Linked DNA regions of Xenopus tropicalis. The main gene of each other region encodes a partner of the protein of the gene in region 2 in a complex. Links are inferred from orthologs where the notes say so. Each region holds a gene or a part of one and is shown on either strand. Other genes may lie near its edges.

Region 1 (4,206 bases), on a different chromosome or scaffold from region 2:
CACATCAGAACTGCTTTCAGGAAACCTAGTGTTTTTCCTACTGAAGGAGTCCCAAGCCGGACTTGGAATTCTAACTATTGAGTGCTATTCTGATATCTAATGGGAGCTGCTATTTTGATACCTTCCCATTGCACAGGTCACATGGCTGTGGCACCCTGGGAAATGAAGAATATGGCTAGCCTAGCCCCATGTGTAATTTCAAAATTAAATATTAAAAAAATCTGTGTTTTTGAAAAAAAGATTTCAATGCAGGGTTCTGCTGGAGAAGTGCTATTAACTAATGCATTTTGAAAAGAAAAAAAAAAAAAACTTTTTCCCATAATAGTATTCCTTTAACACTCAGGTTAAATAAAATACCCAGCATTGCTGTGAAAATGCCGTTAATGTTTTAAAACAAATAAAATTACACACTGAGAAAGGTAAAATCTCTGTAGAGTAGTAACTTGTTATCTATTGTTGATATATTGGGAAAGCACAATCAGACAATATTAAGGTCCAACTTACTCTGGTCAGGTTTTGCAGCACGCATGTAGAACTTAAGTTCAGAGAAAAGTGGTCCATTCTCACTTGGTTCCTACAGATTTAAAATATGGTTTAACATATAACAGCATCCTATTAACTGTAGTTAGAGTAAATCCATAAATGTATATGGCATTTGCTTTAGGTCAGGCATTCCATCTTGCTTTATAAGACAGCATTCATTCCATATCAGTCAGGGATCCAACGGAAACCCACAGTTCATAAGTACAGGCTTTGAATAGGATCAATTAGCTGAATGATAATAACAAAAAATCTAGGCAAAAGGAACACCTCCAGTAGTTTTATAATATGGCCTTTAAAAAAAAAAAAGGTATATGTCTATAGTTACAGAATTGTCCAATGCTCAATGCTAAAAAAGACATACTTTAAATAAAACTAGAATAATAACATTGTATCTACTGCTGTAGGTTACTGCAAAATATTCCTCTGTTTATGCATACCGGTAATTCTAGCAATGTACTAGTAAACAAACCATTAAAAATATCCATTCATCCATAATTCAAGAGGGATAGCCTTTTAAATTAACTAGAGTTTGTAGTGTTTTGGCCACTCTAGACAAAACTGAATTATCTAAGGATACTCCTAACACTGAGGTCTATTTAACTTTTCGCACTATCTATTGCATTGGTAGGATGGAGTTACAATGATAACATCACCCAATAGATCACGGATACTAAAAGGTAATAGTAGGGGAAAAACCACTTACTACTTTAATGACATACGGAGCATCTGGTCCTACAGTTCTAGAAGAATTTTCATCCGCTGAGAAATAAAATCTTACATTATTGACATTTCCATTTTGAATTTATATAGTTTACTTTATATTAGTTATATAACATACGTAATAGAATTAAAATGGGTTCAGCTGTGTGGTACCTGTAAGTTTGTGTGCTATCCATCAAGAAAATGTGAAACATAAGAACACAATTCCATTTACAAAATAAATACAAATTTACCAAGATAAAGACGGCCAAATCCACCCTGTCCAATAGGTAACCCCAATTTCCATTGCTTTTTTGCTGAATCTGTTAGCACTTCCCCTGCAGGAAACTCTTCAGCCAACTTTCTTTTAGCTGGGGCCTTTCTGGCTCCTGACGCTGCTTTTTTGGGTGGCATTTTTCTGCATTGGAAATGAAATTTAGACAAAAATTAAAAACAGAATTCAAAAGTGATTTTAAAAAATATCTATGTATGTATTTATGTATGTATGATAAGAATGCTTATCACAGGAGGGAGAATTCAGTACAAAATAAAGTGAATACAGACTAAAAGTGGGTTAGGAGCTAGGAAGAAAACAAATAACATAAGGCAACTTGTATCCTTTCAGGGCAATGTCATATCTTGCATTTTTTAAGACTGCCTATTCGGGTCACACCTACTCTGACAAGCCTGTAATCCACCTGTAAGAGCCCATGAATGACTTGTGACAGTAGTTATACACTTCTGTTATTACAAGTCAAGAATTGGGGTGCAAGGACTGGGGGCCCCTTGGCAGGTACTTACTTTGCCACCATTGTGACACTCATCCTATCTGCTAAACAGGGTTCAGATAGAAGATCTGAGTTGCCCAGAGGAGTGGAAGGAAAGGGGGAGTGGGGGTTGGAGAGTTGGAGAGCAGTGGGGCAAAAGAACATGAGAATAGTTAAGGGAGGGGGTTGTGCTGAGTGATTTCAGGCCTTGCCCTGGCCACCCTACTGTGTTGCCACAGGTCTGGGTAACTGGTTGCTAGGGTCTTATTTACTCCAGCAACCCGAAAGAGGACTGAATGACATATTAGAAGATGAACAGTAGAGGGCCAGAGCGGAAGTATAACTATTAACAAGTAACAATATTATAGGCTCACAGAGCAATGGCTGTTTGGCCCTACCAACAACCAGAAAGCATTTTTAACTGTTAGCTGGAAAGTGTCAGAAGAGCAAAAATGATAACAACAAAAGACCAACTGAAACGTTGCTAAGAATAGCATATGCATTATACATTAATTTATAGATGAACCACCTCTTTAAATGCAGCGGAACGAATTGGCCAAACAACTAAACAGCTCTGATATGAAATTCACATGTTGGCAGGTGCAAGGGAATAACAAGAGATCGATAATACATTACTTATCAGACCTGCCCTGTGTAACAGTACTACTACCAATACGCACCCAACACAACCTCTAAAATGGCGTTTATTCTGTTGCTTTTACTAACAACATACCGCCCAATAGTTCCGATTTGTCTTAACACAGACCTCCGTGCCCGACCGCTACTTAAACTTCCCGCAACGCAATAAACGTCCTACGCTCCCGCCTGCAGCTTCATCCCGCCGTCACAAATCTCATCTCGCGAGAGCGTGGCGTCACGACTGCACGTATATAAGCGCAGTGACGCGCAAATTGAAGCTTTTGAGGAGTGACAAAGGATGGTTGATGTTGTTGCACAATCATAAGATCTTAGTCATTCTTAGCGGTCTATTCTAGTCAGTCTAACTAGCAGTCATAATCTGTTATTACAGGAGCAGTAACACCAAAAAATGAAAGTATATAAAAGTAATTACGATGTAATTTTTCCCCTGCACTGGTACAACTGGTGTGTTAGCTTTAGAGACACTACTATAGTTTGAACAAAACTGCTGTGTAGCCATGGGGGCAGCCATTCAAAAGAGAAAAGGCACAGGTTACTTAGCAGATAACAGATAAACACCATTATATTCTACAGGATTTATCTGTTACCTGCTGTGTACCTTGTGCCTTTTCTCCTTTTTCAGCTTGAATGGCTGCCCCCGTGGCTACCCAGCAGCTTATTTCTATAAACTATAGTGTGTTTCTCTGGCAAACATACACATTTTACTACTGCAGGGCAACAATATTTTAATTCCTTTAAAACACTTTCATTTTTTGCTGTTCCTTCAGGTAGGGAAAGTAAGCACGGCCTGCTATGGGGGTCTGCTTATAGGGAAGAAAGTGATTTGTTAGTGGTTTGATGCAATTCACGCAGTAGTTGGTAGCAATTTGTTGCTTAATAGAACACTTACTTTTGCCAGGAGACCACATTTTTTTCCTGCCTGCCAGAGTCTCTGTTCTCGATATTTCAGACGTCATTTTTAATGCTTCTACTTGTGCAGGAGCACTGTGCATGCCATTACAAGAGTCTCTGCTCCCAATATTTAACTAAAAGTAAAATTATGTATTTGCTTATAACCCCAACCAAGGCATAAAAAATATACTTTGTCCTTGCTAACTATATCTGGCATATCTTTTTTCCAATTTGACCAGAAAGGAAAGGGGTTTTGTGCAAACTAGGGCTGGTTGAAATGAAGTCATGTAGTTTTTTTTTTTTTAATACTCTGAGGTCCTATTGTTTTGTTGTAAAACAAGGGCCACATTATTTACAATGTAGGGTCTAGCTAATTTTGGGAAAATAATTGGTGAAATTGACCAAAATTAATATCAAATGTTTAGGGCAGTGGCACATGGGGAGATTAGTTGCCCGCAAAAAATCTTGACTATTGTGGGCAACTAATCTCCCCGACATGCCATCCCAGCGGCAACTATGTAAATCGCCGGTGGGATAGCATACACGTCACTTCAGTTTTCCTTGCGAGGCAACTTCAGGCGACCAAAGCAATGCTTATGCCATACCACCAGCGATTTACATTCTTGCAGGTGGGGTGGCATTACAG
Region 2 (4,333 bases):
AACACACACAGTGCCCCCTACCCTGTATAACACACAGTGCCCCCTACCCTGTATAACACACAGTGCCCCCTACCCTGTATAACACACAGTGCCCCCTACCCTGTATAACACACAGTGCCCCCTACCCTGTATAAACACACAGTGCCCCCTACCCTGTATAACACACACAGTGCCCCCTACCCTGTATAACACCACAGTGCCCCCTACCCTGTATAACACACACAGTGCCCCCTACCCGTACACACACCAGTGCCCCCTACCCTGTATAACACACACAGTGCCCCCTACCCTGTATAACACACACAGTGCCCCCTACCCTGTATAACACACACAGTGCCCCCTACCCTGTATAACACCACAGTGCCCCCTACCCTGTATAACACACAGTTGCCCCCTACCCTGTATAACACACACAGTGCCCCCTACCCTGTATAACCACACAGTGCCCCCTACCCTGTATAACACACAGTGCCCCCTACCCTGTATAACACACAGTGCCCCCTACCCTGTATAACACACACAGTGCCCCCCTACCCTGTATAACACACAGTGCCCCCTACCCTGTATAACACACAGTGCCCCCTACCCTGTATAACACACACAGTGCCCCCTACCCTGTATAACACACAGTGCCCCCTACCCTGTATAAACACACACTGCCCCCTACCCTGTATAACACACACAGTGCCCCCTACCCTGTATAACACACACAGTGCCCCCTACCCTGTATAACACACACAGTGCCCCCTACCCTGTATACACACACAGTGCCCCCTACCCTGTATAACACACACAGTGCCCCCTACCCTGTATAACACACACAGTGCCCCCTACCCTGTATAACACACAGTGCCCCCTACCCTGTATAACACACACAGTGCCCCCTACCCTGTATAACACACAGTGCCCCCTACCCTGTATAACACACACAGTGCCCCCTACCCTGTATAACACACACAGTGCCCCCTACCCTGTATAACACACACAGTGCCCCCTACCCTGTATAACACACACAGTGCCCCCTACCCTGTATAACACACAGTGCCCCCTACCCTGTATAACACACAGTGCCCCCTACCCTGTATAACACACACAGTGCCCCCTACCCTGTATAACACACACAGTGCCCCCTACCCTGTATAACACACACAGTGCCCCCTACCCTGTATAACACACAGTGCCCCCTACCCTGTATAACACACACAGTGCCCCCTACCCTGTATAACACACACAGTGCCCCCTACCCTGTATAACACACACAGTGCCCCCTACCCTGTATAACACACACAGTGCCCCCTACCCTGTATAACACACACAGTGCCCCCTACCCTGTATAACACACACAGTGCCCCCTACCCTGTATAACACACAGTGCCCCCTACCCTGTATAACACACACAGTGCCCCCTACCCTGTATAACACACACAGTGCCCCCTACCCTGTATAACACACACAGTGCCCCCTACCACACAGCACAGATCGGTTAAAGAGACAGTGCCCGATACATAGAAGTAAATTCCCAGTCCCTCTGGGAATCCCACAAGGGGTAAGAGCCTGTGCCCAGTACCCAGGCTGTACCCAGGCAATACCCAGGCTGTACCCAGGCTGTACCCAGGCAATACCCAGGCTGTACCCAGGCAGTACCCAGGCAATACCCAGGCTGTACCCAGGCAATACCCAGGCAGTACCCAGGCAATACCCAGGCGGTACCCAGGCAGTACCCAGGCAATACCCAGGCAGTACCCAGGCAATACCCAGGCAATACCCAGGCGGTACCCAGGCAATACCCAGGCGGTACCTAGGCAATACCCAGGCGGTACCCAGGCGGTACCCAGGCAATACCCAGGCGGTACCCAGGCAGTACCCAGGCAGTACTCAGGCTGCACAGAGAGTAAGGATACGGTGCCAGAGCAGCACACAGGGGGCAGTGCCCAGCAGGCAGGGGGCAGCCGGTTTGCCACAAACAACACAGAATAACAACATAAAGGCCTCGGCCCCCCAGCTCCTTCCAACCCCCAGGGGCAGATGGGCAGCAGGTGCAGTGTGTGCCAGGAACAGGGGTGACTCTGGGGGGCAGCTGCCCACACTGGGCTCCTTACAGAGCAAGGGGTCCCCTGGCATTCTGGGCTAAGAGTTAGATGCCAAGGCTGGACATGTTACCCGGCTTGGGTACCCACTAGGGGGGCAGTTCTCTCAGCTGCCCTTAGGGCTTGGGTACCCACTAGGGGGGCAGTTCTCTCAGCTGCCCTTAGGGCTTGGGTACCCACTAGGGGGGCAGTTACCATTGGGCTGTAGCCATGCCAAGGGCCCCCCCAGGTGGGTAGAGGGGTAAGAGCGGACCCCCGGGGAGACAGGTGCCCCCGTTACTATGGTTATTAGAGGCCTCCCGGAGATGGGGGGTCCCACAGGGGGGGGCTAAAGAACTTAGAGGGGCAGTTGCAGGCCTCGGTGGGCAGGGGTTGCACAGAGGGGGGCAAATGGCTGGGGCTGTACAGGCCTCCCCTACCCCGGGGTGCAGGAAGGGGACAGAGGCGGCCCCGGTGCCCCCGGAGGGAGAAGCAGAGGAGAATGAACCCCCGGTTGCAGGCAGTACTGTCGGGGGGAGAGCAGGGAAGCTGTGGTGCCCCAGTAGCCCGGGCAGTGTCGGCTCCCAGCCCCGGGGAAGGCTCCCTACCTGCCGTGGAACCAGTCCTTGCAGGCGTCGCACTCGATCATGAATCGGGTCACATCGTAGGGCAGGCGGCAGACGCAGTAGACGGGCACGGTCGCCATGTTCGATCCCCGCTCACAACAGCAGCAGCGACAGCAGCAGCAGCGACAGCAGCAACGCAGGGAGGGAGAGAGGGAGGGACTGGGAGGGGGAGCCAGGCCTGACACACTGGGGAGACACCATCGGCCGAACCGGGCGGCTCAGCCCGCTACTCTGCCCTCCCGGAACCGCCCGGTACTGCCCCGGTACTGGTACCGCCGGGAACGCTCTGGGTACGGTCGTAAGTGCTGTTCGGAAGTACTGCCGGTACTGGTACTGTACTGCCCGGTACCGCCCGTATTGCCCTGTGTACTGACTGCTGATCCTGCCGGTACTGGTACTGTACTGCCCGGTACCGCCCGTATTGCCCTGTGTACTGACTGCTGATCCTGCCGGTACTGGTACTGTACTGCCCGGTACCGCCCGTATTGCCCTGTGTACTGACTGCTGATCCTGCCGGTACTGGTACTGTACTGCCCGGAACCGCCGGTATTGCCCTGTGTACTGACTGCTGATCCTGCCGGTACTGGTACTGTACTGCCCGGTACCGCCCGTATTGCCCTGTGTACTGACTGCTGATCCTGCCGGTACTGGTACTGTACTGCCCGGTACCGCCCGTATTGCCCTGTGTACTGACTGCTGATCCTGCCGGTACTGGTACTGTACTGCCCGGAACCGCCGGTATTGCCCTGTGTACTGACTGCTGATCCTGCCGGTACTGGTACTGTACTGCCCGGTACCGCCCGTATTGCCCTGTGTACTGACTGCTGATCCTGCCGGTACTGGTACTGTACTGCCCGGTACCGCCGGTATTGCCCTGTGTACTGACTGCTGGTTCTGCCGGTACCGGTACTGCTGTAAGCCTTGCCTGGTACTGCTCTGGGCACTGCTGATACTGTCGGCTTTTTCGATACTGGTTCTGCTGTCTGGTTTTAGCTTGGGTACTGGTACTTTCCCCATGAGTACTGTCTGGGGATGCTACAGGTACTGTAAGTTCTGCCCAGTAATACTGTGAGTACTGCTGCTGGCATTGGTACTGTCCGGTAACACTGCAGGCATTGGCATTGCTTTAGGTTCTGCAGGCTAATACATTGGGGTACTGGTTCTGTTCTATGGTGCTGGCAGATAATACTCTGAGTACTGTTACTGCTTTTAAGTTCTGCTGGGTAATATTCTGGTATTTTTGTAAGTTCTGCTGGGTCTTACTACTCAGGTTCTGGTACTATAGTAAGGGCTATAATCTGGGTCAGAGGTACCATAAGTGCTGTCCAGCTAATACCGGATTTGGGCAGTTACTGCCAGGAGTGATGTACGGCAGCGCTCCGAGTACTGGTACTTATGGGTAATACTACCAGTTGTACTGTCCTTTACTTTGGGTACTGGAACGAGTACTGGTGCTGCCCAGTAACTCTGTGGGGATTTATACACAAGCGGGCCGGGGGGTAGGTTTTCCATGTCGGTACCAAGCTGTTCTACACATTTGTTTTGCCCAGGGGGGTGGGTTTAGGCAGCAGAAACCCATTACAGAGGAGGCAGAACCGGTGTTGATCCAGAGTGACCATTACAGGGTGCACCCATGGCTGG

What was found.
Region 1: the proteins of phf2 (region 2) and vrk1 are in contact, whole or in part, in a crystal structure (PDB 8F8Y), measured with the Homo sapiens proteins. The link is inferred for Xenopus tropicalis from reciprocal best matches to the Homo sapiens genes PHF2 and VRK1. Residues at the interface, in NP_005383.3 of Homo sapiens: Tyr7, Tyr14, Val16, Thr17, Arg18, Phe19, Met20, Ile21, Glu22, Trp29, Glu39, Ala42, Ile45, Asp46, Tyr48, Lys64, Tyr145, Ser147, Glu150, Lys175, Val178, Asp179, Tyr182, Ser183, Thr184; in NP_003375.1 of Homo sapiens: Pro2, Arg3, Val4, Lys5, Ala6, Ala7, Gln8.

Annotation. Positions count from the first base shown.
Region 1 is NC_030684.2:89,325,989-89,330,194, reverse strand, and holds the start of vrk1 (serine/threonine-protein kinase VRK1), read right to left. Parts: upstream 2,851-4,206; 5' UTR 2,743-2,850; intron 1,661-2,742; 5' UTR 1,657-1,660; coding exon 1,497-1,656; intron 1,303-1,496; coding exon 1,247-1,302; intron 575-1,246; coding exon 505-574; intron 1-504. UniProt on the Homo sapiens protein: Serine/threonine kinase involved in the regulation of key cellular processes including the cell cycle, nuclear condensation, transcription regulation, and DNA damage response.
Region 2 is NC_030680.2:152,120,937-152,125,269, forward strand, and holds the start of phf2 (lysine-specific demethylase PHF2), read right to left. Parts: upstream 2,851-4,333; 5' UTR 2,773-2,850; coding exon 2,675-2,772; intron 1-2,674. UniProt on the Homo sapiens protein: Lysine demethylase that demethylates both histones and non-histone proteins. Enzymatically inactive by itself, and becomes active following phosphorylation by PKA: forms a complex with ARID5B and mediates demethylation of methylated ARID5B.